Arabidopsis thaliana: one gene and its partners. The gene in region 1 interacts genetically with each later gene. Each region holds a gene or a part of one and is shown in the gene's direction. Other genes may lie near its edges. The genes, in order: LD, ELF3 and HUA2.

What was found.
Region 2: of LD (region 1) and ELF3, changing one suppresses a phenotype caused by changing the other (phenotypic suppression), as found in Arabidopsis thaliana (one study listed by BioGRID).
Region 3: of LD (region 1) and HUA2, changing one suppresses a phenotype caused by changing the other (phenotypic suppression), as found in Arabidopsis thaliana (one study listed by BioGRID).

Annotation. Positions count from the first base shown.
Region 1 is NC_003075.7:1,122,776-1,130,082, reverse strand, and holds LD (Homeodomain-like superfamily protein), read left to right. Parts: upstream 1-1,592; 5' UTR 1,593-1,830; coding exon 1,831-1,995; intron 1,996-2,288; coding exon 2,289-2,316; intron 2,317-2,469; coding exon 2,470-2,600; intron 2,601-2,729; coding exon 2,730-3,097; intron 3,098-3,191; coding exon 3,192-3,285; intron 3,286-3,369; coding exon 3,370-3,463; intron 3,464-3,560; coding exon 3,561-3,690; intron 3,691-3,785; coding exon 3,786-3,819; intron 3,820-3,894; coding exon 3,895-3,938; intron 3,939-4,027; coding exon 4,028-4,116; intron 4,117-4,351; coding exon 4,352-4,948; intron 4,949-5,083; coding exon 5,084-5,598; intron 5,599-5,854; coding exon 5,855-6,427; 3' UTR 6,428-6,608; downstream 6,609-7,307. Other genes in the region: CUL1 (cullin 1), read right to left, coding at 1-9, 92-277, 452-551, 638-768. UniProt on the Arabidopsis thaliana protein: Seems to play a role in the regulation of flowering time in the autonomous flowering pathway by repressing FLOWERING LOCUS C expression.
Region 2 is NC_003071.7:11,057,063-11,063,824, forward strand, and holds ELF3 (hydroxyproline-rich glycoprotein family protein), read left to right. Parts: upstream 1-1,881; 5' UTR 1,882-2,396; coding exon 2,397-2,615; intron 2,616-2,815; exon of another isoform or gene 2,816-2,977; coding exon 2,978-3,774; intron 3,775-4,954; coding exon 4,955-5,006; intron 5,007-5,096; coding exon 5,097-6,116; 3' UTR 6,117-6,262; downstream 6,263-6,762. Other genes in the region: ALPHA-VPE (alpha-vacuolar processing enzyme), read right to left, coding at 6,434-6,616. UniProt on the Arabidopsis thaliana protein: May be a transcription factor part of a circadian clock input pathway. Acts within a 'zeitnehmer' feedback loop and is involved in its own circadian regulation. Has no role in regulating circadian clock function in the dark.
Region 3 is NC_003076.8:7,784,003-7,792,033, forward strand, and holds the start of HUA2 (Tudor/PWWP/MBT domain-containing protein), read left to right. Parts: upstream 1-1,832; 5' UTR 1,833-2,170; coding exon 2,171-2,281; intron 2,282-2,689; coding exon 2,690-2,766; intron 2,767-2,989; coding exon 2,990-4,717; intron 4,718-4,789; coding exon 4,790-5,306; intron 5,307-5,536; coding exon 5,537-5,645; intron 5,646-5,856; coding exon 5,857-5,969; intron 5,970-6,048; coding exon 6,049-6,236; intron 6,237-6,367; coding exon 6,368-7,049; intron 7,050-7,151; coding exon 7,152-7,638; coding exon of another isoform or gene 7,639-7,646; exon of another isoform or gene 7,647-7,814; coding exon 7,815-7,910; intron 7,911-8,007; coding exon 8,008-8,031. Other genes in the region: NCLPP7 (nuclear-encoded CLP protease P7), read left to right, coding at 1-115, 406-824. UniProt on the Arabidopsis thaliana protein: Transcription factor that functions as a repressor of flowering by enhancing the expression of several genes that delay flowering including FLC, FLM/MAF1, MAF2 and SVP.

The DNA of each region.
Region 1 (7,307 bases):
ATTATAAACCTGAAGCGAACAGAATCAAGGAAAAGTTAAAAATATTTCAATACAACTGAAAGCTATAAAGCCACAGGAATGAATGCCATACCAGGTCACGGAAGCATGTCAGGCCAACTTCATTCAGTGGTGGAAGTGATCTCCGAGCAATGAAGTAACGGTCAAGGTAGTAGAAGAAGCGGGATAGCCATCTGACCATTACTTTATGGTTTGACCATCTTTTAAATAGCTCCCGCAGCATAAACTCATCATGCTTCTCCCTCAACGCAGGCAAAACCTAACCACAGACAACAAGAGAGCAAACATTCAAAACCGTTTGAATCAACTTAAAACCAAGAGGGGACAGGACTTCTTGACATATGAAACCATGCACAAAAGTGGCATCTTAAAATTCAGAGGTAGTAAAAACGAGAAGTTTATAAGAAAGAAACTAAATATCAATCAGACTCACTGTTGAGTTAATATATTCCTCAAATGCTTCCCGATACTTGTCATAAAGCTGCTGTGAGTAATCATGAGGAGGTTTCTGGGTGCACATGTTGTAGATAGTCCTGAGAATCAAATAAATTCCCCATCATAAGTATCAGGACAAACAGCCAAACCGCTATATAAGGTAATAAACAAGTATAAAACCTACGTATAAAGCATCATATATTGCTCAGAGTCAAATGCTGGCTCATTCAATCCTTCCAGAATCCGTTTCAGCTTAGTAATTCCAGTCTGCATATAGTCCCATCCTTGCTCCAAGTCAATAGTCTTGCGCTCCATGTTGACAAACAACTTTTCAAGCTCTCCTCAACCTAAGTTAACCAAAGAACAAGGAGAAAACCAAAATTTAGAACAGCAGTATTAAGCAACACAATGAAATGACTGAAGCGAGAGAGTCAACAATATTTATCATTCTTCAGAGGTTATAATAACACGTTAACACCCACATTATCGAATGCGAAACGAGTATTATCACCCAAATCAAACCCAAACTATCAGATTGTGCGCAAACGAGGACATAAGCATCAGAATATACTCGAGAAACAATCAATCCATGAGATAAACACGAAATTACACAGTAGAAACGCAATCCAGAGACTCCGACGTAACCCTAACAATCTCGATCCCACAAAAATTCAAATAAAAACCTAGAAAGACGAACAATCAACAGAATGATAAAAAAATCAACTGTCGTATGGAACAAAACAAGCGAGAATCCGACAGAAATAGTGATACCTCGAGATCTTAAACCCTAATAATCAGAAAATCGCGTCGCCGTACCCCAAACAGACCCTGACGATTACCGATTCCCGATTACACAGGATCGGCGAGAGCTGCTGCGATCGAAAAAGAAGCGAGAGAGAGAGAGAATCAAAACCCTAAGAATCGTTCAGGAAAAAAGCGTAAAATAGAGAGAAAGAGAGACGAGACCTATGAGAAGGGCGGTGAAAAGATATCTCAGGAAACAAACTCGTTCTCTTCTATTCTATTATTTTCAGGTCTTATAGATTTAATTATTTTTATTTTATGTCAACTAATATATTAGTATAATATTAAACAAATTTAATTTCTTACCTTTTCAGAGATCTACATCAAGACGCTGCGTTTTATAATTTTTCTTTGTAAAGTAACTTATTTACTTTTATGCCCCTTTATTTTGCCTTCCTTACTCAAACCCTAACCCGAATCGGCTTTTTGACAATCCGAAATTAGGTAACCATGTTCATTGAATTTATCGTTTCAACACATTCGAATCACTGAGTCCTACGTTTCAGTTTAATTCCCTGATGCACATTTTGAATTCGGTTTGCGTATTGGTCTTCGAGTTTTCCGTCGGCGGCCATGGACGCGTTCAAGGAGGAGATAGAAATCGGGAGCTCGGTGGAGTCTTTAATGGAGCTATTGGATTCGCAGAAGGTGCTTTTTCATAGCCAGATCGATCAGCTCCAAGATGTCGTCGTTGCGCAATGCAAACTTACCGGCGTTAATCCCCTTGCGCAAGAAATGGTGGGTTATTGTTTCTATGTTTTTTGGTATCTAAAGTTCGTGTTTTATTGGGGTATGGTGATATGGGCAAAGCTGAGAGGGACAGGTCATTCGGATTTTGGAATAAATTCTTTGAAGGGTATTGAGTCTAGCAAAAATTAGAGGTGTTTTTGGTATAAATTCATATAGCTCGACCTCTCCGTTTCTTCTGTGAACTGTAATGGTGATGCTTCAACTGTTTATATGTCATTTCTCTGATCAAGTAATCATCTCTGTTAAAGACATTAATCTGTTTAATTTTTTTGTTGTTTCAGGCTGCTGGTGCTTTGTCCATTAAAATTGGTGAGTCATCTTAGGATTCGTGAGATCTTTTGGCATAATTACGTATATCACAGAGAATGTTTCAATTCATTGTTGCTCTCTAGGTTCATTAAAGGCATACCCAACTTTTACGTGCTCGATGCCTAGTATCTGATGAATTTGTAAATATTTCAGGAAAGCGGCCAAGAGACTTGTTGAATCCTAAGGCTGTTAAGTATCTACAAGCAGTTTTCGCAATTAAAGATGCTATTAGTAAGAGGGAATCTCGGGAGATAAGTGCTTTATTTGGCATCACAGTCGCCCAGGTATTGTTCTTCTACATGATATGTACTCTTTTTTGCCATGCTTTTAGAATTCCATGTCAGTTTAGATCTGTCATGTTGAGGTACTCATGAGACTTTGGTTTGTCTCTTTATTATTTTCTTCAATGGCAGGTTCGAGAATTTTTTGTTACTCAAAAGACAAGAGTGAGGAAACAGGTGAGGCTTTCAAGGGAGAAAGTAGTTATGTCCAATACGCATGCTTTACAAGATGATGGTGTTCCGGAAAATAACAATGCCACAAATCATGTTGAACCCGTTCCCTTGAACTCTATACATCCGGAGGCATGTTCTATAAGCTGGGGTGAAGGTGAAACAGTGGCACTTATTCCACCTGAAGATATTCCACCTGACATCAGCGATTCAGACAAATACTTTGTTGAGAATATATTTTCTCTGCTGCGTAAAGAGGAAACATTTTCAGGCCAGGTGAAACTAATGGAGTGGATCATGCAGATACAAGATGCTTCTGTGCTGATCTGGTACTAGTTGGGGGTTCTCTTTCACCCACTGTCTTATTTTATTTTATTGTTATTATATTCCCGTCTTGACAGTCATTTTCTATATGTGCCACAGGTTTTTATCAAAAGGAGGGGTTTTGATACTTACAACATGGTTAAGTCAAGCTGCTAGTGAAGAGCAAACAAGTGTCTTACTTCTTATCCTGAAGGTACGAGATTAATTTACTTGCAGCTGGATGGCTGTAAAAATATGCAGATTGTTTTATTATGGATAATTGACATTTAACACGCAGGTTCTTTGTCATTTACCTCTCCACAAAGCATCTCCTGAAAATATGTCTGCCATATTACAAAGCGTTAATGGACTTCGTTTCTATAGGATATCAGGTGTAATTTCTGAAAAACCTAAATGCTGCGTAGCTTTCATCAATGCCAAAGTTCTTGTTGTGATTTATTCGATTTCATCATCTGATTTGAAGATCAGACATATCAAACAGGGCAAAAGGTTTGTTATCAAGGTGGACCAAGTTATTTGCGAAAATCCAAGCTATGAAGAAACAAAATCGTAACAGTTCGCAAATTGATTCGCAGAGTCAATTGCTTCTGAAACAGAGGCAAGTTTTGGTTTATGTGTCGAATAATACTTATTTTACCTCTCATTTTGTTGTTTAGTGACATTTTACTCATAGACTTCTGTCTTGTTATGCAGTATTGCTGAAATCATGGGTGATAGTAGCAATCCTGTAAGTGGTGCAAAACATGAATTTATTTCTATTACGTGCATCAGTTCCTTAAAACCGTTTTTCGTGTCGTAACAGGAAGATATTCTTAGTCTCTCAAATGGAAAGTCAGAGAATGTCAGGTATCAGTTTGATTGTTAAATTCCATCTAGAACAGGTTCCCTTTTGATAGTTAGGTGGTTTCATAATTACTAGTTATCTTCTGGTACAGGAGGATTGAATCGTCACAGGGTCCAAAACTGTTGCTTACTTCTGCAGATGATTCCACCAAGAAACACATGCTTGGTTCAAATCCATCGTGTATCCTTTCGTTTGAGCTCTTTTATTAAAAAGCACCAGTTGATTTACATTTTCTCAATGCATTGGATAAGTTAACGTATTGAACTTGTTGGCTACTTCTGTTATTTAGTCGGTATTTTACATGTGAAACCTGCTATGTCAAGAGAGCAACCAAATATTCCACATCATGTTATAGTCCTTTTCCTAGCTCAGGATAATCCTTCACTTCAAAGTTAGTTTCCTTAGCTTTCAGCAGATAACAAAGAACGCAGGAAAGTACAGATGGTGGAACAACCAGGCCAAAAAGCTGCTGGAAAGAGTCCGCAGACAGTAAGAATAGGAACTTCAGGTCGAAGCCGCCCAATGTCTGCTGATGATATTCAGAAAGCAAAGATGCGTGCCCTTTATATGCAGAGCAAGAACAGTAAAAAGGATCCTTTACCAAGTGCCATTGGTGATTCGAAAATCGTTGCTCCTGAGAAGCCCTTGGCTCTTCATTCAGCCAAGGATTCTCCACCTATTCAGAACAATGAAGCTAAGACTGAAGACACACCTGTACTCTCGACTGTTCAGCCCGTCAATGGATTTTCAACTATTCAGCCCGTCAATGGACCTTCAGCTGTTCAGCCCGTCAATGGACCTTTGGCTGTTCAGCCTGTCAATGGACCTTCGGCTCTTCAGCCCGTCAATGGACCTTCGGCCGTAATTGTCCCGGTACAAGCTGATGAAATTAAAAAACCTTCAACACCTCCTAAAAGCATTTCTAGTAAGGTGGGAGTTATGATGAAAATGAGTTCACAAACTATTCTCAAGAATTGCAAGAGAAAACAGATTGATTGGCATGTACCACCAGGTAATATCATTCGTTGGATTTATATCTCGTTGGCCACTTATTGAATAAGCTGAATGTGACTCTTTAGGGTCTTCTTTGGTTCACTTCTATTTTGGTGGTTAGTTAGGACTCATTCTAATGCCTAGTTTTCTTCAGGAATGGAACTTGACGAACTCTGGAGAGTAGCCGCTGGTGGTAATAGCAAGGAGGCTGATGTTCAGAGAAACAGAAACCGGCGAGAAAGAGAAACAACATATCAGTCTCTTCAAACTATACCGTTGAACCCTAAAGAACCATGGGATAGGGAAATGGACTATGATGACAGTTTGACCCCTGAAATTCCATCTCAACAGCCACCAGAAGAAAGTTTAACGGAACCACAGGATTCACTTGATGAACGAAGAATTGCTGCTGGTGCTGCCACAACCTCTTCATCTCTAAGCAGTCCTGAACCTGATCTCGAGTTATTAGCTGCGTTACTTAAGAACCCAGATCTTGTTTATGCACTAACTTCGGGAAAACCCAGTAATTTAGCCGGCCAAGATATGGTAAAACTGCTTGATGTGATTAAGACTGGTGCACCAAACTCAAGCAGTAGCTCAAATAAACAGGTTGAAGAAAGGGTCGAAGTTTCCCTTCCATCTCCCACTCCATCAACTAATCCTGGAATGGTGCGTTACTTGAAACCTATTCACCCCAAATTCCTCGGACATATCCAAAACCCTATTAATAGATCATGTTGCCAAATTGAATCTCACGACATATAGAAAAAAGGAAAGAACTACAACAGGCTCTAGCTAACACCAAACTGGATTATGAATTCCAGCTGTTAGATCTAACCTGATGAGTACAATGCCCCCATTAGAAGATGTTAATGTCTGTTTCTTATTCTCTTACTGAGTTAAGTGTATTGTTCCAATTTTACAGAGTGGATGGGGACAAGAAGGGATTCGGAATCCATTTTCAAGGCAAAACCAAGTTGGTACTGCAGTTGCTAGATCGGGTACACAGCTTCGTGTTGGTTCAATGCAATGGCATCAAACAAATGAACAATCAATCCCACGACATGCTCCATCAGCATACAGTAACTCGATCACATTGGCTCACACAGAAAGAGAACAGCAACAATATATGCAACCAAAACTTCATCACAATTTACATTTTCAACAACAACAACAACAACCAATCTCAACAACCTCGTATGCAGTTAGGGAACCAGTAGGACAAATGGGAACAGGTACATCGAGTTCATGGAGGAGTCAGCAGAGTCAGAACAGTTACTACTCACATCAAGAAAACGAGATTGCATCGGCTTCACAAGTTACTTCATACCAAGGGAATAGCCAGTACATGAGTAGCAATCCAGGATATGAATCATGGAGTCCTGATAATAGCCCAAGTAGGAACCAGCTTAACATGAGGGGACAACAACAACAAGCATCAAGGAAACATGATTCTTCTACTCATCCATATTGGAACCAAAACAAAAGATGGCGTTAAACCATATATAAGACTATGGTTCTTTGGTCCTCAATATTTGCTTGTCATGGTTGAATTAGCATTATACTCTGTTCAGACACAGATTTTCATTTTTAACTCACAACAGATTCATCAGAGATAATAAACTAAAAGAAAGAATGAATGGATAAAGTTATTACTGTCTCAATTGGCTTCAAGGCTTTTCAAAAACAAGTCTTGTCTTCATCATTATTCGACTAATTCCAAATCTGATTCAATTTAGTAACAGTAACACTGGCTAAACTGGACTGCTTCGGTAATTGGAGATTTTGGTATACAATATCCATTTCTGTGAAGATTGATAGAATGTGGATACTGTTCTTATTCGTACACAATTTTTGTTTACAAAGGGAACACTATATACTGTTCCTATTGGTACTCTCAGTTTAAACCGATATCTTAACCGGTTGGGATGGATAACCGGGTTTACTTTTGATAACTAAAAGAACCCAGCATATAGTTTAAGGCCACAATCTCAACTTGCAAATACAGAGTTAACAGCCGTTTAATTATCGTTCTTATGATTTGTTCTTTGTTAAATGATAGGTCAAAAATTATTTATGTCTTTTCTAATTTCATAACTGTGAATGTTTATTGAATCCACATTACTCGTCACCGAACTAAGTAAGCAGTCTCTAAATTAAGACGGTGATAGACAGTGCTCTTCATAAATCGTTCATAAGTCGTTCAAACTTGTATTAGCCAAATCATTCAAAAAACATAATTAAGAGATCCAAAAACAGAAGATTAAAATTAAGAATAACAGATTAATGAGAGAAAGAGCCAATTAGTCAGATAATTGTAGTCTGAGTTTTGGTCGACAGAATAAATTAATATATCCGAAAAATCGTTATCATCATTC
Region 2 (6,762 bases), on another chromosome or scaffold:
TTTTTTTCTAAAAGCCATGAATATAAACACAACAACTAATCAATCTCCACAATATATATTATATATTAACAAAAAGTGTATTGGTGATAAAAAGTACTTGATGATACACTAAACAAAAAGGATAAATGGGAGAATTTTTTATTTTGAAAGATGAAACATTTTAGGTTATATATTTCATGACCCTTATAAATAAAATTCCTGGCTCCACCACTGGATATCTCTACATATTTCCAACATCAATATCCATTGATATTTGATAATCTTTACCAAAAATTCGCAATCTCCTTTAGAGTGAAAGCGAGTATAACCGTATGACCAAACTATTTTGAGTACCATTGGTAATTCCTTACCTTAAGCTTCCAGAGGTATTAGTGCTATATATTCATAGTGCCACCGAGTATTTTGAACTCCGAAATGATTTCTCACTATCCGACCACTCCCAATTATATAACATGCTTAGAATTATTCGTAAGATGGATCGTAGTTGCATTTTACGACACCATACAGGACAAGTCCATGATAGTTTGAGTTGGTGGATTTTGGAACCCCTGCAAATTTATTTTATACATAACAAAGGCCCCAATCCATTCCTTAGCATCACAACTTGGGACTTCTATCTTTTGAAGGATACATTCACTTGTTGGTTTTGGTAAATATGATTGTTTCTTTACTTCCGAATAAGCAATATATAAAAGTATCTAAAAACGGAAGTAACTTTTGATGATCCTAAAGGTTTTGTAATTGATACATGTCCAAAAACCTCTTAATATTCTTTCTCACAAACTGTTGATGGAGTTAACAAAGGGAGACAAGGTAATTGGGACAATATCAACGTTAGATACAGGACAAGTGAAAAATGTGGGGTTGATGTCTTCAGCTGCAGCATATCACCGTTGGTATATATTGTCAATTATTAGTCCTATGGATTTGAAACGTGTTTTAGTAAATAAGAGTGTCCAAGTGGGACATTTCCAATAACGTATCACAGCTCCTAGAGCTTTTGCTATGTTTCTCTAGGCCTGGGCCGCCTAGCCCACATTCCAAGCAAGGAAATGAATGGAGTTGGGCATCAAAATTTTGGAAGCATTTTTAAGACAAATTATCTTTTAAGTTTCCTTTTTTAAACATAAACTATATTTTAGGCTTTTTTAAGATAAATATTATTTGGATTTTCTTTCACTCATATTTTTGGATTTCAACTTAACAAAACATAGGGCGTGTCTATTTGACTCCACCTACCCACCCTACTGGAGTTCGATCCCACTAAATCGCGTTATCCCGCATAGTAGGGATTGACTATGGATCGGACTTTGTCGATCCAAAGATATCTAAGAAATTCAGAAAAGATTGTATAAAATTCAGAAACGATTTTACGAAATTCATGAAAAATGAGAAATACATGTTTTTTTTAATTTACGTCGGCATTAAAAACGTTGGACCGGCTCTGTGTTTCACCAAAGAAATTGTTTCAGTTTATGCATGATCTTCAACTTCCATATTCTTGTTTTCAATTCTGGAAATCCCTAACAGATCGGAGCTCTCCTCATTCAGTGAGTTGGAAGATTGCATGATTATATAATTACTCTTCACATCCACATATATTACATTATATTCCCCTATAATTTCATACAACCCTAGAAAAGAATCTTCAAGTAATCTAATCGTGTCGATGACTCCACTCATTTGCTAGAAAAGAAAAAACAAACAGACTTCATTTAGCTGAAAACAATCTTTTATTCAACATTACAAAGCACTGATCAAAGAACCTCTAACATGGTAATATATCTATGACATTTTACGTATCCTAAAAGAAAACAAAAAGTGATGTATTGGATGATGTTTTTTTTTTTTACTTTCTAGTTTCTTATTACAACGACAAAAAGAGTCCACGTCGTCACGCACTTTTCCGGTGGTGAAAAAAATGTCCAAATGGATTAAATCTATAATATCTCCAGAGAGATCCTCTCCTTCTATCTTTTTGGGCTCCACTTTTCCTATCTCTTTTTGCCCCTTTCCTCTCTCTGTTCACAAGTCATCTTCTTCCTTCCTCTGAATCTTGTTCCTTTTTGCTCTCTCTACTTGATTCACCCACTCTGTTTCTCGATTAGTACGTTGAAAACTCACTTTGGTTTTGTTTGATTCCTCTTTAGTCTGTTTTTCGATTTCGTTTTCTCTGATTGGTTTGGTGGTGAGATCTCTATCGTAGTTTGTCCTTTGGGTTAAGATATTTCATTTGATTGGTGGGTTTGTTTTATTGAAGCTTATTGTTGTGAAAGTTGGAGTCTTTCTCAGTTTTTAGGTTGAATTATTAAGAGAAAGGGAAGATTTTTGGTGTGAAGTTAGGTTATTTGGGGTTTGAGAAGTTTGCAAGTGAAAAAGGTTGTGAATTGTGAGTGATGAAGAGAGGGAAAGATGAGGAGAAGATATTGGAACCTATGTTTCCTCGGCTTCATGTGAATGATGCAGATAAAGGAGGGCCTAGAGCTCCTCCTAGAAACAAGATGGCTCTTTATGAGCAGCTTAGTATTCCTTCTCAGAGGTTTGGTGATCATGGAACGATGAATTCTCGTAGTAACAACACAAGCACTTTGGTTCATCCTGGACCATCTAGTCAGGTATTGTTTTGATTTTGATCATTGTATAGGCTCTTGATGTTATTAGTTGTATGAGTTTGGATGTTATATAGCCTGAAAGAGAAAGTAGGACATTGGTTGATCTATGTTTCAATTGTTATCAGATCATAGTATCTTCTTTTTGCTTATGGATTGAGCTTTTAGGATTGAATTCTCCTGTATATATGAGAGTCTTGTAGACACAAGTTTATCTAAGTGTGGTTTATTTCTTAAAACTAACATTCTTGTTGTGCCTGATTCTTTTTATGTTCTGAAGTTCGATGAAAGTTTCTTGTGATTGCCCTGAGCATTCAGACTATTGCAAGGACATGAGAAATAATCCTTTTTTACCCTCTTCAATGCAGCCTTGTGGTGTGGAAAGAAACTTATCTGTCCAGCATCTTGATTCTTCAGCCGCAAACCAAGCAACTGAGAAGTTTGTCTCCCAAATGTCCTTCATGGAAAATGTGAGATCTTCGGCACAGCATGATCAGAGGAAAATGGTGAGAGAGGAAGAAGATTTTGCAGTTCCAGTATATATTAACTCAAGAAGATCTCAGTCTCATGGCAGAACCAAGAGTGGTATTGAGAAGGAAAAACACACCCCAATGGTGGCACCTAGCTCTCATCACTCCATTCGATTTCAAGAAGTGAATCAGACAGGCTCAAAGCAAAACGTATGTTTGGCTACTTGTTCAAAACCTGAAGTTAGGGATCAGGTCAAGGCGAATGCAAGGTCAGGTGGCTTTGTAATCTCTTTAGATGTATCAGTCACAGAGGAGATTGATCTCGAAAAATCAGCATCAAGTCATGATAGAGTAAATGATTATAATGCTTCCTTGAGACAAGAGTCTAGAAATCGGTTATACCGAGATGGTGGCAAAACTCGTCTGAAGGACACTGATAATGGAGCTGAATCTCACTTGGCAACGGAAAATCATTCACAAGAGGGTCATGGCAGTCCTGAAGACATTGATAATGATCGTGAATACAGCAAAAGCAGAGCATGCGCCTCTCTGCAGCAGATAAATGAAGAGGCAAGTGATGACGTTTCTGATGATTCGATGGTGGATTCTATATCCAGCATAGATGTCTCTCCCGATGATGTTGTGGGTATATTAGGTCAAAAACGTTTCTGGAGAGCAAGGAAAGCCATTGCCAAGTAAGTTCACTAGAAATTTACAGTTTGGTTATTTATTCTCCGCTCTTTCTATTTATCTCCTTCTTTGATACCAACATTTTTTGCTTGAAAGAAGTTAATATTTAAGCATTGTTCCGTAGTCTTACTGAAGCTTTTTCCTCTGTTGTTTTTTGCTATTTTCATTGAGGACTGTGGTAGGGCATATTTCACTATCACCAAATTTCAAATTTCTAGAACACTCTCCTTCATATTTTTTTTCATGATTAATGCTGCAATTGATTGCTGATATACATATATGACTATAACTCAGTTTCATATTCTGTCTCATTTTGGGAGAAAGAGATTTCAGGTTTATGCTTGAGAAGTGATGGTTCTATAGTTGAGAGGCCCCTGATTCATCTAAAATGGTCCTATTATGTGTTTAGTTGTAGAGTCCTCGGTAGAATATTAACGCGTTTAACACGTTGGATCATGTTATAGCAGGGAGGGACATTCTCTGTTGACCTATATTGTGCAAGGTGCCCGCCGATGGCTTTATTACTATACCTTCTTTGCATCTGGTTGTTGGAACATGTCCCTGTCTCGGTTTGGTATTGCTTTTATTCTGCACTGTCGTCTTGGGCATTTTCCCTACTTGTCATTCAAGGGGTTGAACCAGGTAGGGAAATGTTTTTCCGAGGACCCCAGGATCTAAATTTTAGTTAACCATACGTAAAGTTAGTTTTGAGTCTTATGACGATGCAGAATTATAGTTTCTTCTTACTACTGCTTAAGAGGATCCTTAGTGTGGTTGTGAACTACAGAGTTTTTATGATTGTAGGCTTCATGACTTAACTTTTAAGGTTCAATGTACTCTAATCCATATGGTAAGGTATCGGATTCACGACCAATGCAAATAATAAGATTTTTATTTCTTGCTTCTTGTTAAATATCTGACATCTCATTTTGCAGAGGATAAGCTGCGCTGTAAGCTAGATTTCAATAAGCCCGTCCTTTGCATTGTTATCTATGCTTTAATATGTCATTGGACCCATTGATTTGGTTTTCTTCTATCTTTTTTGATTGGCTATGTATTCTTGTTTCTTTTTTCCTATCTCATTTCGATCGTATTGTTCCATTAGCTGTTCAACCTAAACTATGTCTCTCTTTGTTGAACTTTTGATGGATAATCTTCTTAATGTGACTCTGTTTCTCATTACAGTCAACAAAGAGTATTTGCTGTTCAACTATTTGAGTTGCACAGACTGATTAAGGTAAAGTCATTCAGAAACTTCTCATATGTTTCCATGAGTATTTGTTTCTTCTCGAGCTGAAACAAACCTCTTCAACTGTGTAATAATCAGGTTCAAAAACTTATTGCTGCATCACCGGATCTCTTGCTCGATGAGATCAGTTTTCTTGGAAAAGTTTCTGCTAAAAGCTATCCAGTGAAGAAGCTCCTTCCATCAGAATTTCTGGTAAAGCCTCCTCTACCACATGTTGTCGTCAAACAAAGGGGTGACTCGGAGAAGACTGACCAACATAAAATGGAAAGCTCAGCTGAGAACGTAGTTGGGAGGTTGTCAAATCAAGGTCATCATCAACAATCCAACTACATGCCTTTTGCAAACAACCCACCGGCTTCACCGGCTCCAAATGGATATTGCTTTCCTCCTCAGCCTCCTCCTTCAGGAAATCATCAGCAATGGTTGATCCCTGTAATGTCTCCCTCGGAAGGACTGATATACAAGCCTCACCCAGGTATGGCACACACGGGGCATTATGGAGGATATTATGGTCATTATATGCCTACACCAATGGTAATGCCTCAATATCACCCCGGCATGGGATTCCCACCTCCTGGTAATGGCTACTTCCCTCCATATGGAATGATGCCCACCATAATGAACCCATATTGTTCAAGCCAACAACAACAACAACAACAACCCAATGAGCAAATGAACCAGTTTGGACATCCTGGAAATCTTCAGAACACCCAACAACAACAACAGAGATCTGATAATGAACCTGCTCCACAGCAACAGCAACAGCCAACAAAGTCTTATCCGCGAGCAAGAAAGAGCAGGCAAGGGAGCACAGGAAGCAGTCCAAGTGGGCCACAGGGAATCTCTGGTAGCAAGTCCTTTCGGCCATTCGCAGCCGTTGATGAGGACAGCAACATCAACAATGCACCTGAGCAAACGATGACAACAACCACAACGACGACAAGAACAACTGTTACTCAGACAACAAGAGATGGGGGAGGAGTGACGAGAGTGATAAAGGTGGTACCTCACAACGCAAAGCTCGCGAGTGAGAATGCTGCCAGAATTTTCCAGTCAATACAAGAAGAACGTAAACGCTATGACTCCTCTAAGCCTTAATCCTCTCTATGCGTATTGTACTTGATATGTATTTTACAAAATTAGAAAAATTGTGATAGATGTTATCCTCAATATATGTACCATGTAAACGTATTATGGTGTAAGCCTCATTTATATGTGTTAATTTGTCTTAAAGCCTTGAAATCACTTGAACAACAAAGATTATTTGAAACAACTACTTACAATCACTGTTTCTTTTGTCTGTGACATCAAGAACTTAAGCATCCCATATTTACAACATCTTGTCTACATAGGAAGGAGTATAATTGGTAGTAAGATATTAATGGACATCGATTAATATAGGGCGGAGACGAAGATCAAGCACTGAATCCACGGTCAAGAGAGCTCCAAGGACTGGTAGGGATGGTGGGACAAGCCTGCATTGCTGCCTCCTCCATTTGCCTCATCTGAATCCCTGCGTTGCACATGTTTGCAATCGACCTCATGTGCTTTATTCCGTACTGAGACAACGATCCACAGTGCCTCTCGAAAGCTCTCACCTAACAACCACATAAAGGAGAATAAGAAAGTGATCATCACAAGAAGCTTAATCATCTAATGAGGACTGAAAGTGATTTTTTTCCGACATATCATATCGTATCTAACGTCCTGAGTCTTGCATCCTCTGGCCAATACCATTGTTTAA
Region 3 (8,031 bases), on another chromosome or scaffold:
ATTAATGACGACACATCTCACGTCGTCGTCGCTCAGCTTCTTTACCTCGAGTCTGAGAATCCTTCGAAGCCGATCCATATGTATCTCAATTCCCCTGGCGGCCATGTCACCGCCGGTACGCTTCCGCTTTCCATTTTCTATCTTTAGCTTCGTCAAAATTCGTACTAGTGTGATTCGGAATCAGATCGCTATATGCCACTGCTTTGTCAATTACTTGATATAGTTGAAACTTTGATACTGTTCGTTGATACTTGTTCTTCTGTGGATTTGTAACTTGATTCCTGCTACTAGTTTTAATGTCCACAGTCTCAAGAGTGTCTGGTTTGTGACGAGTTAACACTTTCTGAGTCTCAAATTGTTTGTTGTGAGTCTGTGACGCATCTTTAATCTTTGTCTTTGATACAGGTCTTGCAATTTATGATACTATGCAGTACATTCGTTCTCCTATTAGCACAATTTGTTTGGGTCAGGCTGCATCAATGGCTTCTCTTCTGTTGGCAGCGGGTGCCAAGGGGCAAAGGCGGTCACTTCCAAATGCAACTGTTATGATTCATCAGCCTTCAGGAGGATATAGTGGACAGGCTAAAGATATAACGATTCATACAAAACAGATTGTTCGTGTGTGGGATGCGTTAAATGAATTGTATGTCAAACACACGGGTCAACCTCTTGACGTGGTTGCGAATAACATGGATAGGGATCATTTCATGACTCCTGAAGAGGCTAAGGCGTTTGGAATAATCGATGAAGTGATTGATGAAAGACCGTTGGAGTTGGTGAAAGATGCAGTTGGAAATGAAAGCAAAGATAAGAGTTCAAGTTAGGAAGTAACTGGTAATCAAAGTAATAAATTTTCTTCTTTTCCTCTTACCAGTTTTGCTTTGATCCTGTTAGATTACTTTTTTCTATGGATGAAGTTATGCTCTGAGGGCATGATCTCTCAAACTGTTTTTATTCATTCATAAATCAATCATGACTATATTTCTGAAATCTTTTCCTCGCATGTTTAGTGTTTACAGTCTCATATCTGATTCAGTAAAATGAATATTGGATTAACGCTTGGCTTTGGGTCTTAATTTTATGTGCAGTTTGATGCATTGCAAATCTTTGATTTATGCATCATTTTATACTAACTAGAAAGTCTAAAATGATGAGATTATTGTCTAGTTTCAGAAACCCCAGTTCTAGTTGGTTAGTTTATGTTAGAAGATGGGGTTTGCTGTTTCCTTATGCTCTTGATCGATGTTCTTCGGTTTCATGTTTTTGCTTACCTCATCAAGTCAAAGCCACATCTATTCTGATTTGCCTCTTTTTATATAGAAGAAGTTAGAACACATCATATTCTTGTGTTAACACTGGTCTTTGATTATGCTCTTTGAATTAGGGACAGAATCTTAAGATCTTTATGAAAATTCTTGTACGGTGTTGTCTTGTCGTGTTGAGCTGAGCCTTCAATTGCTAGTGTTTGCTTCTGTTACTCTGAATTATATTTGGACAATCTCACTCTAATAAAAGTTTTTTAAATACTAGCAGAATTGTTAATTTATCCTATGGTTTACATGTTTATATGATTTTGTTGGTTCTATAATGTGTAAAAATGGAAAACATGATTTTTTTTTCCTTTTTTTTAAAAGTATAAATGGAAACGTGTAGGAAAGTGTAAACAAGAAAAGAGGACATAAATGACCCAATGACTTAATAATATATTTGGTTGAGACTTAGGAGTAGTGAGATTAAACTACAAAATAAGGTAAATTGGAAAATAAGGAAAAACCTTTTTCGATTTCGATCTCTCCTTGGTGAAAAAGGAAATTGAAAGGGGAAAAAACGCCGACAACAGTAAACCAAACTTCTCACAAAAACTCCTTGGAAAGTTTTCACCTTCTTTCAGCCCTAACCCCATCGTCTCTCTCTCGCGACCGCCTCATCTCTCTCTGTCTGGATCAATCTCGCTCTCTCTTTCTCTCGGCTACGTCGCTGTTTCTCGTTTCGTGATCCGTAGCTGTCTCCGCTACTACCTTAATCAGCGAGCTTCTTCCGGTGGAATAATCTTCGGATAGGAGGAATCGGAGAATTCTTCTAATTGGGTGTCTGGGTTGGATTGGAATACGTAATTCTGTTGGGTGTTCCAATTTCGCGTTCAAAATTAGGGTTTATAGAGGTCTCGCCTATGGCTCCTGGGCGTAAAAGAGGAGCGAGCAAGGCCAAAGCCAAAGGGCAGTTGGTTCTCGGTGATCTGGTTCTCGCCAAAGTCAAAGGCTTCCCTGCTTGGCCTGCCAAGGTGCGTTATCATTATGATTCCTCTATTGGGTTTTAATTTTTCTTACACAGATTCTTGTTTTTTTTGCTTCTTCTCTAATTGAATTCTCATATAGTCCTTAAGTCCATAGTCATCATCTTTAACTTGTTGGGTCTTCTGTTTTTATCGTTACGAATTCTAGAATACACATTAACTTCGTCGAATTGAGCTCTAGTGTGTTCTGTTTCTTTTTGTTGAGATACTAGGCTTCATGATTAAGTTGGTTTGAAAGTCAGTTAACTCATCTATCTAGTTACTCGGTCAGATTCCATGGTTGAATTATGAAACACACATGTTATTCATCTCGATAAATAATGAGCTTCCGAATCTCTCTAATACAATTCTCTTTAGTTAGTCTCTCTTGTGAAGTAATTTGGTTTTGAGTTTCAGATCAGCCGGCCTGAAGATTGGGATCGTGCGCCAGACCCAAAGAAGTACTTTGTTCAGTTCTTTGGAACAGAGGAAATGTAAGCTATTCTCTTTTATTCTTTGATTCTGGTACCTTCTCATCCAGAAAGGTATATGAACTTTAGTCAGTATATCATGTTGCTAGGAATTAAGTAGTAGACCTCGGTTATCAGGTGTTTCAACATGTTACCAAGTGTTTTTCTTTTTGGCTGACAATATCTTTGGAGTTGATTTTGTCTTTTACAAACTGATCATTGACAAAGTTATCTTCCTTTACTGCAGAGCTTTTGTTGCGCCACCTGATATCCAAGCCTTCACTAGTGAGGCAAAGAGCAAACTATTAGCAAGATGTCAAGGTAAAACTGTCAAGTACTTTGCACAAGCTGTAGAGCAAATCTGCACTGCATTTGAAGGGTTGCAGAATCACAAGTCAAATGCTTTGGGCGATGAGGATTCTCTGGATGCTACTGAACCTGGTTTGACAAAGGCTGAGATAGTGGATGGAACAGATCATATTGTCATTGAGTCTGAGAGAACTGATAACTTTAATTTTAGGGTGGATCCTTGCTTCCCCAAATTAGATGAGAATAATGGTGAGGAGAGAAAGGCTGAGATAAGGAAGCTAGATTCATCTTCATTTCTGGAATCAAAGGTCAAAACCACATCCCCTGTTAGCGAGTCACTGGAGCATAGTTCATTTGACCCTAAAATAAAGAAAGAAGATTTTGATAAAGGAACTGACGGTAGTGCTTGCAATGAACATTTTGGTAATGGCCAAAAGAAGCTGGCTAACGGTAAGAGAATTAAGAAGGAAGCAGGTGGCTCTGATAGAAAAGGTGAAGATACAGTTCATCGAGACAAAAGCAATAACTCACATGTGCCTGGTGGTCGAACTGCCAGTGGTAACTCTGATTCCAAAAAATCGAAAGGTCTGTTGACAGAGAAAACCAGCTCCAAAGTGTCTGCTGATAAGCATGAAAATTCACCTGGCATCAAGGTTGGGGTTTCCGGAAAGAAAAGGAGGCTTGAAAGTGAACAAGGTAAGCTTGCACCAAGAGTAGATGAAAGCTCACGTGCTGCTAAAAAGCCGCGATGTGAAAGTGCAGACAATAAAGTAAAGTGTGAAATTGATGATGGATCTGATTCTACTGGGACTGTATCAGATATTAAGCGTGAAATTGTTTTAGGATTAGGTGCTCGCGGTGGAAATTTTCAATATGATAAAGAAGCAGTTGCATATACAAAGCGCCAGAGACAGACAATGGAGCATGCTACCTCTCCTTCTTTTTCTGGGTCTCGTGATAAATCTGGGAAAGGTCATCTGGAACAGAAAGACCGTTCCTCTCCTGTTCGTAATGTTAAGGCTCCAGCTGCACAGTCGCTGAAAAAACGGAGGGCTGTTTGTATCTACGACGAAGATGATGATGAAGATCCAAAAACCCCATTACATGGAAAACCAGCCATTGTTCCCCAAGCAGCATCTGTTTTGACTGATGGTCCTAAAAGGGCTAATGTGTGTCACAGTACTTCTACAAAAGCTAAGATATCTGCTGGATCTACAGAGAGTACTGAAGTAAGAAAGTTCCCTCTGCGTAAACATTGTGAGGATGCATCACGTGTATTACCAAGCAATGCGGAGAATTCTACTAATAGCTTACCTGTGGTAAAACCCATTAATGAATTGCCGCCAAAGGATGTCAAACAGATCTTGCAATCTCCGAAGATGTCCCCTCAGCTGGTTTTAACTAACAAGCACGTTGCAGGACAGCATAAAGTTGTAAAATCATCGGTGAAAGTTTCTGGTGTTGTGATGGCAAAGAAGCCTCAAAGTGATTCTTGTAAGGAGGCGGTTGCGGGATCTGACAAAATAAGCTCTTCTCAGTCTCAGCCAGCAAATCAGAGACACAAATCAGCTTCAGTTGGAGAGAGGCTAACAGTGGTTTCAAAAGCTGCATCACGTTTGAATGACTCTGGTTCAAGAGACATGTCTGAGGACTTGTCTGCTGCTATGTATGTCACATTCTATCTGTCATCTTTTTGTGTGTATGTCGCCTACTGCTTATAATTATTCTTTTCTTGCAGGCTTGACCTCAATAGAGAAAAGGGGAGTGCTACATTTACCAGTGCAAAGACCCCAGATTCGGCTGCATCTATGAAGGATCTAATTGCTGCTGCGCAGGCAAAAAGAAAACTTGCACATACACAAAATTCAATTTTTGGGAATTTGAACCCTAGTTTCTTGAGCATCAGTGATACACAGGGGAGGAGCCATAGCCCATTTATGGTTCAGAATGCTTCAGCTTCTGCTGCCATCTCAATGCCGTTAGTTGTTCAAGGTCATCATCAACAAGGTTCTTCTCCGTCAAATCATGGGCATCAGTCCTTATCAAGAAATCAGATTGAGACTGATGATAATGAAGAGAGAAGACTTAGTTCAGGGCATAAGTCAGTTGGAGGTTCACTTAGTTGTAGCACTGAGGCTGCTATTTCTCGGGATGCTTTTGAAGGCATGTTAGAGACCTTATCAAGAACCAGGGAAAGTATTGGACGTGCAACTCGCCTAGCAATTGATTGTGCCAAGTATGGGCTTGCTAGTGAGGTAAGATGGTTGGTTGGTTTTTCATTATGTTTTTTCTTAAGGCTTCGACAAACTTATTGTTAGGCTGCACATATCAAATCAATTTAGAATTGCACTTATTCTGGCTTTACTTCTTGGATGTTTAGCTTGCTACGTAAATTGCTTTCTCAAAATTATTTACAGCATTTGGTGCGTAATATTGTTCAGACAATAGTTGCTTTAATTGGAAATTTGTTTGTGTTTTTATCTAGGTGGTGGAACTTCTCATACGAAAGTTGGAAAGTGAATCTCACTTCCATCGTAAAGTGGACTTGTTCTTTCTCGTCGACTCTATCACCCAGCATTCGCACAGCCAAAAAGGTGAGCTTTCCTCTTGGATAGATGCAATACCTGTTCTCAAATTTTCACTTCCTTCCCTGAAATGCTAATAATACCGTATTTATTAGCATTTCAGGGAAGTAAAAAATTCACAAGCATTGTTGTATTGTTTTTTACTGTATACAAAGAGAACACCTAATATATTTATTATCATTAAAGATTAAATAATTTCCAGTGCTTGTGAATTTTGTAGGTATTGCTGGTGCTTCTTACGTTCCTACTGTGCAAGCTGCTTTGCCACGTCTTTTAGGTGCCGCTGCTCCTCCAGGGACTGGTGCTAGTGATAACCGTCGTAAATGTCTGAAGGTATTTAAACTATTTGCTTGTTTCTATGTTATCCTTACAGTTTTGTAGGCTGGAGTCAGTGACCTCTTTGTTTTTTTAGGTCCTGAAGTTGTGGCTTGAAAGGAAAGTTTTCCCTGAATCTCTTCTGCGTCGTTATATTGATGATATTAGAGCTTCTGGTGATGATGCAACTGGTGGGTTTTCCCTGCGACGTCCTTCTAGATCTGAGCGTGCTGTAGATGATCCTATCAGGGAAATGGAAGGGATGCTTGTTGATGAGTATGGCAGGTATGCTAAACGATTGTCTTGCTTAGTAGTGTACTCTCCGGATTATATATGTTGCTGATGAAAAAATAACAGGCAAGGTCTGTTGCCATTCTGTAGAGGGTTTATTAACTTGTTTGTCGTTTTTTCTGCAGCAATGCAACGTTTCAGCTGCCAGGGTTTTTTTCATCTCATAATTTTGAAGATGATGAAGAAGATGACGATCTTCCAACATCACAAAAAGAAAAAAGCACATCTGCGGGGGAACGTGTCAGTGCTTTAGACGACCTGGAAATACATGATACCTCGAGTGATAAATGCCATCGAGTTTTGGAGGATGTCGATCATGAACTTGAAATGGAAGATGTATCAGGCCAGCGGAAAGATGTAGCACCTTCCTCTTTCTGTGAGAATAAGACAAAGGAGCAATCACTGGATGTTATGGAACCTGTTGCAGAAAAATCAACCGAGTTCAATCCTCTTCCAGAGGATTCTCCTCCGCTACCTCAGGAATCACCTCCCCCTCTCCCTCCTCTACCACCTTCTCCCCCACCTCCATCCCCTCCTCTCCCGCCATCATCTCTGCCACCACCGCCTCCCGCAGCGCTGTTCCCACCTCTTCCACCACCTCCGTCTCAGCCTCCTCCACCACCACTTTCACCTCCACCTTCACCGCCGCCTCCACCTCCACCGCCTTCACAATCATTAACAACTCAACTCTCCATAGCTAGCCATCATCAGATACCATTTCAACCAGGATTTCCTCCCCCAACATATCCTTTATCGCATCAAACATACCCAGGATCTATGCAGCAAGACCGCTCTAGTATTTTCACCGTGAGTTCTTTGATTTGTTATGTTTCATTTTACTCATGATTCCTCACTATACATATGCATCTTTTATCATTTTTGTTTAAACCCCCTGGACATCATGTGCAGGGTGATCAAATTGTCCAGGGGCCTGGAAATTCTTCACGTGGAGGTCTTGTTGAGGGCGCTGGAAAACCCGAATATTTTGTGCAGCAGTCCTCCAGTTTTTCACCAGCAGGAGTGTGCAGCTCCAGGGAGCCTTCATCATTTACTTCCTCCAGACAACTAGAATTTGGGAACAGCGATGTACTTTTCAATCCTGAAGCTTCTTCACAGAACCATCGGTTTCAGCCGAGCACCCCTCTGTCCCAAAGACCTATGGTTAGGTTGCCTTCAGCACCGTCCAGTCATTTTTCGTATCCAAGCCATATTCAATCACAATCTCAGCATTCCTACACTCATCCTTACCCTTTCCCACCTCAACGTGATGATGCACGGCGATACAGAAATGAGGAACCATGGCGGATTCCTTCAAGTGGACATAGTGCAGAAAATCAGAATGGTGCCTGGATACATGGAAGAAATTCACATCCAGGCCTTCCTAGAGTCACAGACAGTATGTAGATGCTTAAATCCTAATAGACCCTTTACCTGTTAAGGTTTATTAACTTGCATGATTGCTTGTGGAGTTGTAATCATTGTGATACTTCTGTTGACTATGATTGTCTAGCTTGTATGTTAATGCCATGGCTTAGTTCCTTGAAATTGATGGTCTTATTTGCAATTCTACAGGTTTCTTTCGGCCACCTCCAGAACGTCCACCTTCAGGGACAATGAACTATCAGCCTTCTGCTGCTAGTAACTTACAAGCTGTCCCTGCAATTCCAGGTGAGACTATATTAGTCAATTCGTCTGATTGTAGACTCTCAAAGATACAGTCAGAAACCTTTGTGCTTACCCTACCATTTTAAATTACCAATTTAAGGTCATACTGCTCCCCAGATGCTAC